Anolis sagrei: one gene and its partner. The protein of the gene in region 1 purifies or fractionates together with the protein of each later gene. This does not show direct contact. Links are inferred from orthologs where the notes say so. Each region holds a gene or a part of one and is shown on either strand. Other genes may lie near its edges.

What was found.
Region 2: the proteins of IGF2BP3 (region 1) and HNRNPA2B1 purify together in Homo sapiens (affinity purification with mass spectrometry; 4 studies listed by BioGRID and IntAct, with this or other methods). This does not show direct contact. The link is inferred for Anolis sagrei from reciprocal best matches to the Homo sapiens genes IGF2BP3 and HNRNPA2B1.

Annotation. Positions count from the first base shown.
Region 1 is NC_090026.1:92,999,609-93,007,377, reverse strand, and holds the start of IGF2BP3 (insulin-like growth factor 2 mRNA-binding protein 3), read right to left. Parts: upstream 3,005-7,769; 5' UTR 2,859-3,004; intron 2,431-2,858; exon of another isoform or gene 2,428-2,430; coding exon 2,253-2,427; intron 1-2,252. UniProt on the Homo sapiens protein: RNA-binding factor that may recruit target transcripts to cytoplasmic protein-RNA complexes (mRNPs). This transcript 'caging' into mRNPs allows mRNA transport and transient storage.
Region 2 is NC_090026.1:91,778,052-91,785,199, reverse strand, and holds the start of HNRNPA2B1 (heterogeneous nuclear ribonucleoproteins A2/B1), read right to left. Parts: upstream 3,005-7,148; 5' UTR 2,990-3,004; coding exon 2,813-2,989; intron 1-2,812. Other genes in the region: CBX3 (chromobox protein homolog 3), read left to right, coding at 6,389-6,412. UniProt on the Homo sapiens protein: Heterogeneous nuclear ribonucleoprotein (hnRNP) that associates with nascent pre-mRNAs, packaging them into hnRNP particles.

The DNA of each region.
Region 1 (7,769 bases):
ACATGAAAATGAACAAAATCTGGCCACCAGTTTTAAAAACACTCTAAAGAGCAACACTCAAAAAGCAGGGGAAGTCCAGTCAAAAATCAATTAGGGTCAGCTAATCACCTCCCAACAAAGGATCCCCCCAGGCAGCAATCTGCCAGACCTTAAAACTGCAAGGCCATTCAATGCTAATCAGGGGGCCTCATCACACTAGAGAATGAATCCACTTTATACCCGGTTTCTGCCTCTTGCAGAATTCTGGGGTTTGTTGTTTAGGGATGAGCTTTAAACACCCTCACCAAACTATAAACCCCAAAATTCTGCAGGAAGCAGAAACAGGATTTTAAAGTGGATTCATTCTCTAGTGTGATGAAGTGGAAGGTGGCCAACTACAACATTCACACTTGCCTCAAACAGACAAGAGTTCTTTCTCCCACCCTGGACATAATTCCATTATTTAAACCTCATTTTTCCTAGCTTCCAAGAAACCTCACAACCTCTGAGGATGTCTGCCATAGATGCAGGTGAAATGTCAGAAGAGAATGCTTCTGGCGCATGGCCATACAGCTCAGAAAACTCACAGCAATCTAGGGCCTTATCTCTCAGAATATCAAGACAGAAAATCTGACATTATCTGCTTTGAACCGGAATATATGGCACTGTGATATGCAAACCTCACTTGCCTTGTTTCCAACAGACCTCACAACCTCTGAGGATGCCTGCCATAGATGCAGACAAACCTTCAGGAGAGAATGCTTCAGGAGCATGGCCGTACAGCTTGCAAATCTCACACCAACCTAGGGCCCTATCTCCCAGAATATCAAGACAGAACATCCAACATTATCTGCTTTGAGCATACAAAGCAAATGAATATATGGCACTGTGGACACAGATAACCCAGTTCAAAGCAGATATCGAGGGGTTTTGATATTCTGGGATATAGGGCTGTGTGGAAGTTTCCAACAGACCTCACAACCTCTGAGGATGCCTGTCATAGATGCGGGCGAAACATCAAGAGAGAATGCTTCTGGAACATAGCCATACAGCCCGGAAAACTCACAGCAACCCAGGGCCCTTCCATAAAGCCCTTTATCCCTGAATATCAAGGGAGAGAATCCCACATCATCTGAGTGTGGACTCAGATAACCCAGTTCAAAACAGATATTGTGAGATTTTCTGCCTTGATATTCTGGGGTAAAGGGTTGTGTGGAAGGGGCATCAGATAATCCAGTTCAAAGCAGATACCGAGGGATTCTCTGCTTTAATATTCTGGGTTATAGGACTGTGTGGAAGTTTCCAACAGACCTCACAACCTATGAGGATGCCTGCCATAGATGCAGGCGAAATGTCAGGAGAGAATGCTTCTGGAGCATGGCCATACAGCTTGCAAAACTCACACCAACACAAATCTATTTTAATAAAACTCCACCGTGTTGGTGGGCTTTGCAGCACCGGGGGGGGGGGGGAGAGGAGACTCCACTCTGTGTGTGTGTGTGAGTGAGAGAGAGAGAGAGAGAGAGAGAGAGAGAGGGGGAGAGGGAGAGGGAGAGGGAGAGAGAGAGAGAGAGAGAATTTGTATATATATTCCTTTCTTTGCTTGCTTTCCTAACCACCTGCCCTTCCTGGGCGCCCCAAGCCACCTTTGTCCGGGGCGGAGAGAAAGGCGAGAGCGCGCATGGAGAAGAAGCCAGAGAGAGTGTGTGTGTGTCCCTTCCCACCCAACAGCTTTGGGCCCTTTCCACGCGTTTCTGTCTCGCCATCTCTCCCTTCTCCGACAGAGTGGGGCTTCCTTAACCCCCACCCCCCACCTCGTTCCCTATCCTCTTATTCCTGAAGCCTGGAGAGATGCAGAAGGGGAGTCTTGGGGGAGAGATGTGTGCGTAATGCGCCCTGGCTTTGGGCCTTCTTGTGGCACCACCAAAACAAAACAAAAAAGGGGGGGTTCTCTTTTTGCGCCTTTCCTTGTTGGGGGGGCAAAGAGGAGGAGAAGAGGGGGCCCTTTCAGGTCCGCTTCGGACCCTCCCCATCCTAAATAAGGTCTTTTAGAGACTGGGAGAAAACTGGGGAAAGGGGTCCCTTTTTGGAGAGAGAGAGAGGTAGCGCGCGTCTCCAAAATGGGAATGGAGAGAAGAGAGAAGGCGACCACGCGGCGATGGAGAAGGAAGAGAGAGAGAGAGAGGATGGCGCACGGGGAAAGCAGGGAAATGGGGAAAAGAGGGAGGCATTTGGAGGGGGAGGAGGGTATTGAGAGGGGGTGTTGGACCCACCTGAAAGTGCCTCGATGGCCTTCATGGCCCAGTTCTCGTCGGGGCAGTCCACAAACGCGTAGCCCGTCTTGACGAGGAACTGGCCGGTGAAAGGGATCTTGGACTCTTTGAAGAGACTTTCCAGGTCTTGCGGGCTCACGTTCTCGCCCAGGTTCCCGATGTACAGCTTGTTCATCTTCTTGGGTGAAGGATCAATACACAAAAAAAATTAGATCCTGGCTTAATAATTTAGGGGTGGAAAAAAATAACAAAACACACAAGAGGAAGAGAAGCACCACTACTTGGGAAAACAGCAGCAGAAGAGACAACAAAACAATATCCTTCCAAAGGATGCAATAAAATAAAATAAAAAGCCAAAGAGGGAGGGCTTTCCCCCCAAAAAACCCAACAAAAAAAGGAGGAAAGGATCACAACTGCGGCTTATATCCGTCCCCACCCCTCCCTCTTTCCCTCCTTCCTTTCCTCCCTTCCTCTCTCTCTCTCTCTCTTACTTACACACCCACTTTGCAAAAAGGCAACATATCCAAAGAGATACTGGGAATGAGGGGAAATAATGGGAATTAGGGAAGGAAAGGAGTAGATAAATAAATAAAGAAGGGAAAGTACTTTTTCTTTGCCTTGTTTCCTTCTCCTTTTGTATGTGAGTGTGTGTGTCTCTCTCTCTTTGGTGGCCAAAGCAGGCGGAGTATGGAAATGTTACAATGCGCGCATCGCAAGGCACCGCCTCTCTCCAAAGAGTAGAGAGAGAGGGAGGGAGGGAGGGGGAAAAGAGAGAGAGAGAGAAATCGCTTGAATATTCCGGCTCTTTTTTTTTTTTTTTTTTGAATGAGGCCACGTGTTCAAACTACAAATCAACTTCTCACGCGAGGAATCCCAACGCCTCAATTAAGAGAGCGCGACTCACAAAGGAGGAGAGAGGAAAGGAAGAGGAAAAGGAGAGGCTGCGTTGTGCCTTTTTTTTTTTTCAGCTGTCCTGGAGAAGTTTCTTTTTCTTTCCTTTTTTTTCTCTCTCTCTCTCCCCTCCCCCTGTTTACTACTTTCCGGGTTGGGTTGCTTAATACATACACACACAGAGAGAGACAGATCTATATATATCTCCACTTTGACGCGCAGGCGTTTTGGCGCGCCTCTTTCTCTCCCGTGCGTAAAAAGCGGCGCCGCGGCTCTCCACGTTTTCCAGCCTTCCTCGCGCGGATCGGGGCGTGGGGTCTTCGAGGAGAATCGATGGGCTTCGAGGAGAATCACTTCGTTATCTGGTCCCCTCACGGGGAGGAATTTGGAAAGAGAAGCCCGGGAAGAGCACACCAAATCGCAAACCCCCAAGGCGACCAAATGAGATTTGGAACCCTATCACACTAGAGAATGAATCCACCTTAAATCTGCCTCCTGCTGAATTCTGGGGTTTGTAGTTTAGGAAGGAGCCTTTAATAGCCTCCCTAAATTACAATCCCCAGAAATCTGCAGGAGGCAGAAACCCGATTTAAAGTGGATTTATTCTCTAGTGTGACCTCCTCACACTAGAGAATGAATCCCGCTTTAAATGGGGCCGCTGCCTCCTGCAGAATTCTGGAGTTTGTAGTTTAGGGAAGCACCTTTAATAGCCTCCCTAAACTACAAACCCCAGAAATCTGCAGGAGGCAGAAACCCCATTTAAAGTGGATTCATTCTCTAGTGTGATGAAGTACTTATAAGGACCTCATCACAGTAAAGAATGAATCCACCTTAAATTGCTCCCTCCTGCAGAATTCTGGTTACAAGAAGGTCCTCCATTCTGCATTTGGCAGAGCTCAGGCTGCATTGTAGTAAGTGATCTGTGGTTTGCTCGTATGTTGTGGACTCCCCCTCTGAGCATACTTGCCATAGATTTGGGTGAAATATCAGGAGAGAATGCTTCTGGGAACATAGCCATACAGCCCAGAAAACTCACAGCAACCCAGACAAAAGTTCTTTATACCACCCTGGATTTTCCAGAGATATACAAACCTCGCTTGCCTAGTTTCAAACAAACCTCACAACCTTTTAGGATGCCTGCCATAGATATGGGTGAAATGTCAGGAGAGAATGCTTCTGGAAACATGGCTATATACAGCCTGGAAAAATCACAGCAACCCGTAAAAAAAACAACTCTTAGGACCTCATCACACTAGACCCAGAAATCCTAACAGCTGGTAAACTGGCTGGGATTTCTGGGAGTTGTAGGCCAAAACACCTGGGGACCCACAGGTTGAGAACCACTGCACTAGAGAACAATTCCACTTTAAATCCAGCTGTGGTCTCCTGTAGAGGTCTAAGGTTTGTAGTTTGAGGGCGGGGGGCTTTAACAGCCTTCCTATACTACAAACCCCAGAATTCTACAGGAGGTCTAAAAGGCGACCTGTTTTGTGTATTGTCAAAGGCTTTCATGGCCAGAATCACTGGATTATTGTAAGTTTTTTAGCCTGTATGGCCATGTTCCAGAATTGGAACATGGTCATACAGCCCTAAAAACTTACAGCAACCCAACCTGTTTTGGATAGAGAGTGGGGGGTATATTATTCTTTGAGGCATTCCAGTTTTCAGGATATACTAGCCATCCCTGCCATGCCTTGCTGTGGCCCAGTCTTTGTATATGTGTTTTGTGTGTGTATATATATATGTGTGTGTGTGTATTTTTATATATGTGGTTTTCCGCATGGGTTATAATGTATTTTTAAAATTTTTGGCTTTTAAAGTCTCTTCTGCTGTGTTTTTCAGTGTTTTTATGAGTGATGGTCACTTGTTGGCCTGATAGGTGTCTTGTGTCCAAATTTGGTGTCAACTCGTCCAGTGGTTTTTGAGTTATGTTAATCCCACAAACGAACATTATATTTTTATTTATATAGATTACTAGCGGTCCCCTGCCACGGGTTCCAGTCTGGTGATCTGGAAAACAAAGTAATTAGAAAGTGTTGGTTTCTAATATATGTAATTTATTTATGCTTGTGTGTAAACAGCATTTCTTGCTGTTTCTTTGTCAGTGTTGATGTGGAGATTGTCTGGTTTGCTCACCCTGGAACATGCAACATATAATTGTCCTTCTTTAGGAGTGCCTTTCAAATCTATGATACTATATCTCTGTGTGAATCATATCTATCTATATCTATGACTGGATGGCTCTTTGTCAGGAGGGCTTTGATTACATTGCCTTGTTGAAGGGAGTTGGACTGGATGGCCTTAAGTATGAAGGTTCTGTGTGGGAAGTTTGCTCCAATTTTGTCGTTGGTGGAGTTCAGCATGCTCTTTGATTGTAGGTGAATCCCAGTAACTACAACTCCCAAATGTCAAGGTCTATTTCCCACAAACTCCATCTGTGTTCATATTTGGGCATATGGAATATTCGTGCCAAGTTTGGTCCAGAGTGCTCTCTGGATGTAAGAGAACTACAACTCCCAAACTCAAGGTCAATGCCCACCAAACCCTTCTAGAGTTTTCTGTTGGTCATGGGAGTCCTGTGTACCACATCTGGTTCAATTCCATCATTGGTGGAGTTCAGAATGCTCTTTGATTGAAGGTGTACTATAAATCAAAGTAACTACAACTCCCAAATGAAAAAAAATAATTTTTTTTAGTGATGATCACTCCTTGGATTAGTAGATATCTTGTGGCCCAATTTGGTGTCAATTCGTCCAGTGGTTTTTGAGTTATGTTAACCCCACAAACGAACATTACATTTTTATTTATATAGATTATTATGATGATTTCCAAAGCATCCCATCCATGTGCGTTTGGTCTGCTCTTTATTTCAATGTTGGGTGGCTGGCTTGGCTTTCTTGCTGGCCATTGGCTCCTTGCTTAAGGAAAGAAAAGGAGGAGACAAAAATAAAAAAAAAGCAAGCCGGGGTCTTGTTGAGGCCGGGGGAAAAAAGAAGAAGAAGGGAAGGGTCTCCTTGAAACCGTTCCCTCCCACTCCCCCTTGCCACCCCTCCTTTTCCTCCCCTCCTTTTCCTGCATAGTGATATTTCTGGCGCGTTGGTGAGCCTTGGTGAATGTGATGCCTCCACGACGTTATGAATCGAAGGACAAAAGGGGTGGAGGCCGGTTGGAGGGGGATTAGAAGGAAAGAAAGAAAGAAAGAAAGTGGGAGGGCAGAGGAAAGCGTGCTCCTCCGGACAGAGCGGCCTCTCTCCCCCCTCCCTCTCCCCATTCCAGACCCTAACCCTTCCCCCTCCTCCTGTCTTTTTAAATTTAGTTAATGGTGGGTTTTTGTGCTGTTTCCTTAAAGGGGAAGGGGAGCAGCACTGGGCATGGTCAGCAGGCAAGGCAGCCCTAGGATTACCATACAGAATCCACCCACCCACCCCCATTCCTCCTCCCTCCTCTCTCTCTGTTTCCCCCTCCTCTCTTGGTTCAAGGAACCATTCATAATTTTCAACATTTGTAAAGAGCACACAATGGTGGGTTTGTAGGGGGAGGGGGTCAGGGTGTGTGTAGGAGAGAGAGTGAGTGGAGCCTGGTTCCAGGGCAAACAAAAAACGTGGCCTGGAAAACACACACACACACACACAAGAGAAAGGAAGGATACAGAAATGAAAGCCAGCCCTGTTGTTTTAATATTTAGGACTCCAGTAAGTTTTAAGAATTTGCTTTCAAGGAAAAAAAAGGGGTCATTGCTATGCATAGATTGGGTGGGAAAGGAGGATGGATGGGATGGGATGGGATGGGAAAGCCTTCCCAGGACTTTTGTTTATTTATGGGGCCCCTTCCACAGCCCACATGATCTGCTTTGAATTGGATTATATGGCAGTGTGGGCTCAGATTATGGGGGCTCTTCCGGGAATTCTGTGGGATTTTCTCCCTATAGATATGTGGAAAGGCCCTGGGTTACATATTTTGTGGAAATGATTCAAGTTATATATGTAATTTTCCAAAATATTCCTCAGTTATATTCCTGATGTAGATTTCGAAACTCAAATTTTAGGGTTCACACAACTTTAAAAAATGTAATTGTTTTAGGGTTAATGTAATTTTAGTCTGCTGAAGTATTCTGGACAATTGTGGTCAAATATCTTGTGTCAGAGTGATTTTATCTAAAAGTATCATCAAATGCTGTTGGTTTATGTATGTTTTACAAAAGGAATAGTGATAGAAAAGAGTTAATAATGTTCACATTGCCTTGACACTTTTGTGCAACTAAATTGATACAGTCCTATATTATTATTTTTAGTTTGGTTTTATTTTTAGTTTCATAAAATTTTAGTTTCAAAAACTTGTGTTGACCAGTTAAATTGAAAATCTTTTTAAAATCCTGTAGATTTTTGGATTATGTGATTTTGATATTTATACTAGGATGATTTTAATGCTTTATCTGAATGTTTAATTGTGTATATGTCTTATGTTTAATGGTTTTACTGAGTTTTAGTTAGAGCTATATGTAGTCATTACTTATTATGATTTCTTCATTTTCTTGTATCTTGGCATTGAATTTTTGCCCTTAGTATGCTGTAAACCATCTTGAGTCTCCCCCAAGGGTGAGAAAGGCAGTATATAAATACAGCAAAT
Region 2 (7,148 bases), about 1.2 Mb from region 1:
CTATACTGCCATATAAAATCGAGATTATCTGCTTTGAACTGGATTATATGGCAATGTAAACTCATATGGCAGTGTGGGTGGGGCCTACGCCAACAAATAGAGGTAATTTGTTTTCATTTCTTCTGCCAGCAGACAACTTTCAGGTGAGCAATTTGCATTTTTATGAAATGTGGTCAAGCTGAGAACAGGATGGAAGATTACCCAAATTGCTACAGTAAAGTGGTGCAATGTTAAAGGAAACCAGGGCCCTTCTACACAGCCTATCCCACATTATCAAAGGAGAAAATCTCACATTATCTGAGTGTGGAATCAGATAACCCAGTTTAAAGCAGATATTGTGGGATTTTCTACCTTGATATTCAGCAATATAGGGATCTGCAGAAGGGCCCTCAGAAGATTTGGTGCAATGCAAAAAGGCACTTTTTGGCCCTTTCCACACAGCCAAATATCCAGAAAAGTGGTTCTCAACCTGGGGTCCCCAGATGTTTTTGGCCTTCAACTCCCAGAAATCCTAACAGCTGGTAAACTGGATGGGACTTCTGGGAGTTGTAGGCCAAAAACATCTGGTGACCCCTGGCTGAGAACTACTGATCCAGAATATCAAGGCAGAAATCCCACATTATCTGAATGTGGAGTCTAATTACTCAGTTCAAAGCAGATATTGTGGGATTTTCTGCCTTGAAATTCAGAGGGGCTTTTTTTTGTCCCTCTCCCCCCCTCCTCCCACCACCACTACATTTGTTCAGTTAGTTGATCACGCCCCATACGTAATCAACTAAGGGCTCTTCCACGAAGCTCCATATCCCAGAATATCAAGGGGGAAAATCCCACATTATCTGAGTGGGGTTTCAGATAACACATCTATGCGGAAGGGCCCTAGTTTTTGCGTTTGGAAGGGCCTTTGGTGAGACAATTGTTCTAGAAAATGCAAAAACTAGGTCCCTTCCACACAGATAACTGGGTTATCTGAAAGCACACTCAGATAATGTGGGATTTTCTCCCTTGTTATTCTGGGATATAGGGATGTGCAGAAAGGCCCTCAGAAGATTTGGTGCAATGCAAAAACGGTTACTCTTTGTGCTCTTCCACACAGCCCTATATCCCAGAATATTAAGGCAGAAATCCCACATTATCTGAGTGTGGACTCATAATAACTCAGTTCAAAGCAGATATTGTGTGTTTTTCTGCCTTGAAATTCAGGGATATAGGACTGTGTGGAAGGGACCTTCCACACAGATGCATTATCTGAAACCCCACTCAGATAATGTGAGATTTTCTCCCTTGATATTCTGGGATATAGAGCTTAGTGGAAGAGCCCTTATGGGGCGTGATCAACTAACTCTGCTGGACAAATCTGGTTGGGAGGGGGACGACAAAAAAACCGGTTCGTGTTAGGTATTTTTACGTAGCACATTATCCTTCCCCCGCCCCCTTGCTGAACTCCCGCTGAAAATGGTTCCGCCATGTGACGTCCCCGTGAATCCCAAGTCCTCAGCGGAGTAGGAGAGAAAATGGCGCCGAAGAAGACGAGGCGGGGGGAGGGGGGGTCGTTCCCAGAAGGCCACGAAAGGCTGCTCTGCTCTTCTGCGCGCGCACCCTGCCCGCTCTCGCGCTGAGGCGGAGAAGAGCAGGCGGAGGTCTTCGAATAGCACCCCCCTCCCCGCCAGGAACAAAGAGAGACGGTCTCTGACCCACACTATGGCCCGTGGGCCTGGGGGGGGGGGCTTAAGGGGGGTGCCAGAGACTAACACGGCCGCTTCCCCCTCCCAACCGCTGCGGGCCTTTCCAGAACCTTCCTCCCCCTCCCCAATGGCCTCATTAGAAGCATCCCAGTCGCGCCAAGTGCGCCACCCAGCGTTTCTGCGTCACTGCTTCCAAGACCTACGCTAATGGCGTACTCTGCCGCAGTTCGCGCAGGCGCGCCGCAATCTCCAACCCGGGGCGCTGACGCTTCAGCTTCCTATGCTACGCACCATGCTTGGAGTAACGCGCTTCGAGAATAGGACTCGTCTTTCGTGCTATGGCGGCCTTGATTGCTACGTACTTGGAAATTACCTCACCATTCCTCTCCCCTCCGCATTTTTAAACAAAATACTTTGATGTCCATTTATTAAACCATATCGAATTGTTCATTCCCCGTTTTGGCCCTTTTCCTCAAAACATTACTTCAGACTGAAGTATGCGACCGTTATTTAAAAAAAATGTTTTACAAGTGATCGTGCAGTGTGCGACAACAGCTCAAAGGCGCTTCGTCACCACAGGGAGGGTCCTTCGGCCATTTCCGGAAGACTGCCGAAGAATACCGATTCCCCCTCGCAGCCCCTTCGGCGATTTCCGGAAAAACCCGAACGGACAAACAATCCATTCTTTGCGGTTTCCGGAAAAAGCCGAAGAAGCACGAAGTGTCATCGCGCCAAAAAGGGGATGGGTAGGCGATGGATTAACGAAACCCCTCTCCTTTGTAGTGGCTCGATATAGTAAAATATATTTTTAAAATCCCTTCGTAAATGACGTTTATTTAAAAAAATCATATCAATACTGTTTTGTATCGCTTTTCCCTGAGGAGAAAACAAAATCCCAGGGATGACGCGGTGAGGAATCGGGCATTAAATCAGCTCTGTTGGAAACAATTTTCAAAATCAGGCCTAGGCGCTGCCTTTCCCTGTTTGTGCGCGCGCTTTTTCCCTTCCTGCGCCGCCGCCATTTTCTCCCCTCGCTCGAACTCACAGGGACACAATGGCGGCGGAGTTTCTTTTTTCCTCCCCCCTTCAAAGTAAAAGCCGGCTATTAACCGAGCCACTCTGTCCGTTACCTCACTCACCCAGTCGCTCTCCCGGTCTCCGCGAGGCATCTCGGCTGAGGAAACAGCGAAGGGCGCGATAGAGTGAGGGAAGAGAGGCGGGAGGCGCGCTTTGGCTCCTTCGGCGGCAGGAGACGAAATGCGTGAAGCGGCTAACGACCGGCGGTGCAGATAATGGCGGCGGCGCATGCGCAGTGGCGAGCGGGAAGGGGGAAAGGGGAGGGCTTCTCCCTAGGCCCCGCCCCTTTCCCCTCGCGGCGGCGGCGGCGCCTTCTTCCACACACAGCGCGCGGGGAGCCAACACAGTTCGGAGGAGCCGAGCAGACGCTGGGCCGCCGCCATTGAAGTCCGTATCTTTCTCTTTATCTTATTTTATCCTTCCTTTCCCCTCCCATCTCCACCTGCCCTCCTTTTTAAAGCCCCTTTATCATAATCCTAATTGCAAGAACAGCATGAGCCGCTCTGAGGGGAAAAGGGCCGCTTACCTATATATATATATTTATGTAACTCGAGAAAGCTTCAGGCGTGGCCTCCTCCTCCCTTTCCTTTCTCCTCCCCTCCTCCATTTCCCTTTTTTTTTCTTCAAACGCCGCCTTATGACCCATGAAAGGGATTGGTAATGAAGCCTTTTGCAGTAGGCCTCTTTACAAACAAAATGGGGCGTTTTGCAGTAGGCCTCAAAAATTAGCTTGAGGATAATGTGAGGCCGCCCACCCAAGACCCTCCTCCGTTGCACTCTCCAACTTTAAATGTGTAAATGGCGGCCTGACCGCCATTTACTGGTAAGATCCATTTCTCCTTTCCTTCCATAAAGGAAGAGGCCCGATGAAACGGAGGCTGGAGGCGGTGAAAAGGAGTGACATCCCTCCAAGCGTCAGGTCCTCAGATGGGTAGCTCTATGCTTGGAAATGGGGGGCCAAAAAGAAGGATGGGGTCCCTTTGGGATATTTGGCCAGGCATTTTCACCCAGTCTTATTCTCCTGGACTAGCTTTACCCGCCACGCGTTGCTGTGGCCAACCTTCCCTCCCTCGTTCTCTCCTCCTTTCTTTCTCACCTTCATTTCTTCCCTTTTTTTCTTTCGTTCTCTCCTTTCTTCTCTTCCTCTTCCCTTCCTTCCCCTTCCTCTTTCTCTCCTTTCTTCCTTCTCTATTCTTGGACTGCAACTCCCAGCAGTCCTCCTGATCAGTCTATTTATCTCTCTCTCTCTCCATCTAATCCAGTGGTTCTCAACCTGGGGTCCCCAGATGTTTTTAGCCTACAACTCCCTGAAATCCTAACAGCTGGTAAACTGGCTGGGATTTCTGGAAGTTGTAGGCCCAAAACATCTGGGGACCCAGGTTGAGAACCACTGACTATCTATCTGGAGGATTCCTGGGAGTTGCAGTACAGGAATAGGAAATTGGAGGTATGCAGGGATTGGTATGCTCTCAAAGAAATCCAAGGAGAAGCAAACTTGCAGCTTGGAAGCAGTGCATTTGCATCATCTTCCTCTCCTAAAGGGCCTGGTCTAGGGGATGCTGGGAGCTCTAGTCTGGAAGAAAGTGTGGATATGCTATTGTGTGTTTTGTTTGTCCAGGGTACTCATTTTGCACATGCACTGTAACATCTCTTTGCATTTGTGGCTTTTTAAGTCCCTTCTGCTGTGTTTTTCAGTATTTTTATGAGTGATGGTCACTTGTTGGCCTGATAGGTGTATTGTGTCCAAATTTGGTGTCAATTCGTCCAGTGGTTTTTGAGTTATGTTAATCCCGCAAATGAACATTACATTTTTATTTATATAGATTGTGGGATTCTATCCTTTCTCTCCCCCCCCCCCCTTTTCCTTGCTTCTCGTGCTTAGCATCAATGCTTTGCTGTAGGCCGTTACTCTTTACATTCCATTTTTTTCGGAATGGAAGGATGCACTCACTACAAAAAAAAGGATGGCTGAAAGTGGAAGGGAAGCAGGCAGAAGGTGGTGGATTACTGGGTTGCAGAGTTTTCTGGGTGGTGGATTTGCTTTCATGCATCTCTTGGTTGATCCACCCCATCGGTTTGCAAAGAAACTCCTGTTAAAAGGCATTGGGACTGTAATATGAATTATTCTATATGTGTCCAGTGGCACCGTGGGTTAAACCACTGAGCTGCTGAACTTGCTGACTGAAAGGAATGAGCTCTCACTGTTAGCCCCAGCTTCTGCTAACCTTGCAGTTCAAAAAGATACAAATGTGAGTAGATAAATAGGTATCGCTCCAGCGGGAAGGTCACCACTCTTTACATGCTCGTCACATGACCAAGGACAGTAGTTCTCAACCTATGGGTCCCCAGGTGTTTTGGTCTACAACACCCAGAAATCCCAGCCACTTTACCAGCTGTTAGGATTTCTGGGAGTTGAAGGCCAAAACATCTGGGGACCCATAGGTTGAGAACCACTGATCTAGGAGATGTCTACGAACAATGCCGGCTCATTGGCTTAGAAATGGAGATGAGCACCACCTCCCAGAGTCAGACTCAACTAGACCTAATGTCAAAGGAAAACCTTTACCTTTTGTGTGTGTATGTTCTATAACTATGTTTAAGATTTGTTGTTGGAAGGCTTTCATGGACGGAATTACTGAGTTGCTGTGAGTTTTTCAGGCTGTATAGCCATGTTCCAGCAGCATTCTCTTCTGACATTTTTGCCCACATGTAGGGCAGGCATCCTCCGGGGAATTCCAGACAAGAAACCACCAGGGGCAGTTAACACCTCCCAACAAAGGATTCCCGCCAGACTTTGAATGCTTCTGGAACATAGCCATACAGCCCCAAAAAATCAAATCAACCTATGTTTAAGATTCCTAGGTCACGCATGTATTTGTTGTCTACTCGACCGCAATCTTGTATCTTCCTGAACTGTTAGAATTACCTGTACTATACATGGTTGTTCTTCAAAGGCTCCAAGATGGCTTGATGGATCTGAATCAAACTTCATTATCCAAATTAAAATCCTGCCAAATCAGAAATGGTCTCCCCTTTCTTTTTAAAATGACATATATTGATGGCCCATGAGTCTTATGATGCAGCGTTCCGATAGCTTACTCAGAGAGGAAGATGACAAATAGAGGAGGTCTGGAGTATCAACAGGGAGACACACTAGGAGACCCCTTCCATCAAGCCATGTAGGGCCTTTGAGGGACATAGATAAATGTTGTATATATTGATATTATGGCTGATTTTGTGACCCCTGAAATGTTTCTGGACTTCAGTTCCCAGCATCCCCAGCCCTGGTGTAGCTAATTATGGGGAAACCAGGGGATTGCAATCCAGCATCATGATATCACCCCACTTTGAGGTTTTGCAGTATAAGCTTTCTTTGCAAATGTTTGGTTTGAGATCAGAATGTGTGATGTTGTTAGTGAAAAGGCATGGCATGTTTTGTAGGTAATGCTTAACTCCAAATGCCTAGTGTCATAAGTAATATAACTTCAAATGTTGCTAATGTACTTGAATTTTGGAATCACATTGATAAAAAAGGGACCATATTTGTTTTCAGATGCCTTTCTCTGAGTAATACACATTCCTTTTGTCATGCATTTTTCTAGTAAAAGCTCAGCAAGTCTGCAATAAAAATGGCCACCAATAAATCTACATTGGTAAGTTCACAACCACATAAAATATGTAAGGATTTTATCACCATATTTCTTCAGATTTATTGTTGGCATTTCTGTGTAAAACACTGGTTCCAAACTTTTGGTCCTTCAGGTATTTTGGACTTCAGCTCCTACAATTCCTTACAGCTGATAAGATGGCTGGGACTTCTGGGTGTTGAAGTCCGAAAACTCTAGAGGACCAAAGGTAGGGAACCACTAGTGTAAAAAGATACATCCACATCTCCCAGCATTATTTACCATATTTTTATCCCGCCCTATCTCACCCTCAAAGGGGGACTCATCGCGGCTTACAGTTTGGCACAATTAGATGCCACATCAAAACAGAAATAACAAATTATAAATATTTTAACATTAATTACACATAAAAACGAGCACATATAAATACAATTAAAACAGGATTGAAAACAGCAATTAAAACAACCACAAATTCTGTAATCAGAGTCCTTGAGCCATTCCAGTTACAGTCACATTGATTTCCAGCTGTCTATTGCATTGTAGCTAGTCTCCGAATGTCTGGTTCCAAAGCCATATTTTCTAAATGTCAGGAGGGAGGAGGCTGATCTCACATCACTAGGAAGAGAGTTCCACAGTTGAGGGGCCACCACTAAGAAGGCCCTGTCTCTAGTCCCCACCTGTGACGGAGGTGGAACTGAGAGCAGGGCCTCTCCAGAAGATCTTAGCTATCCTGGTTCATAGGGGGAGATGTGTTCGGATAAGT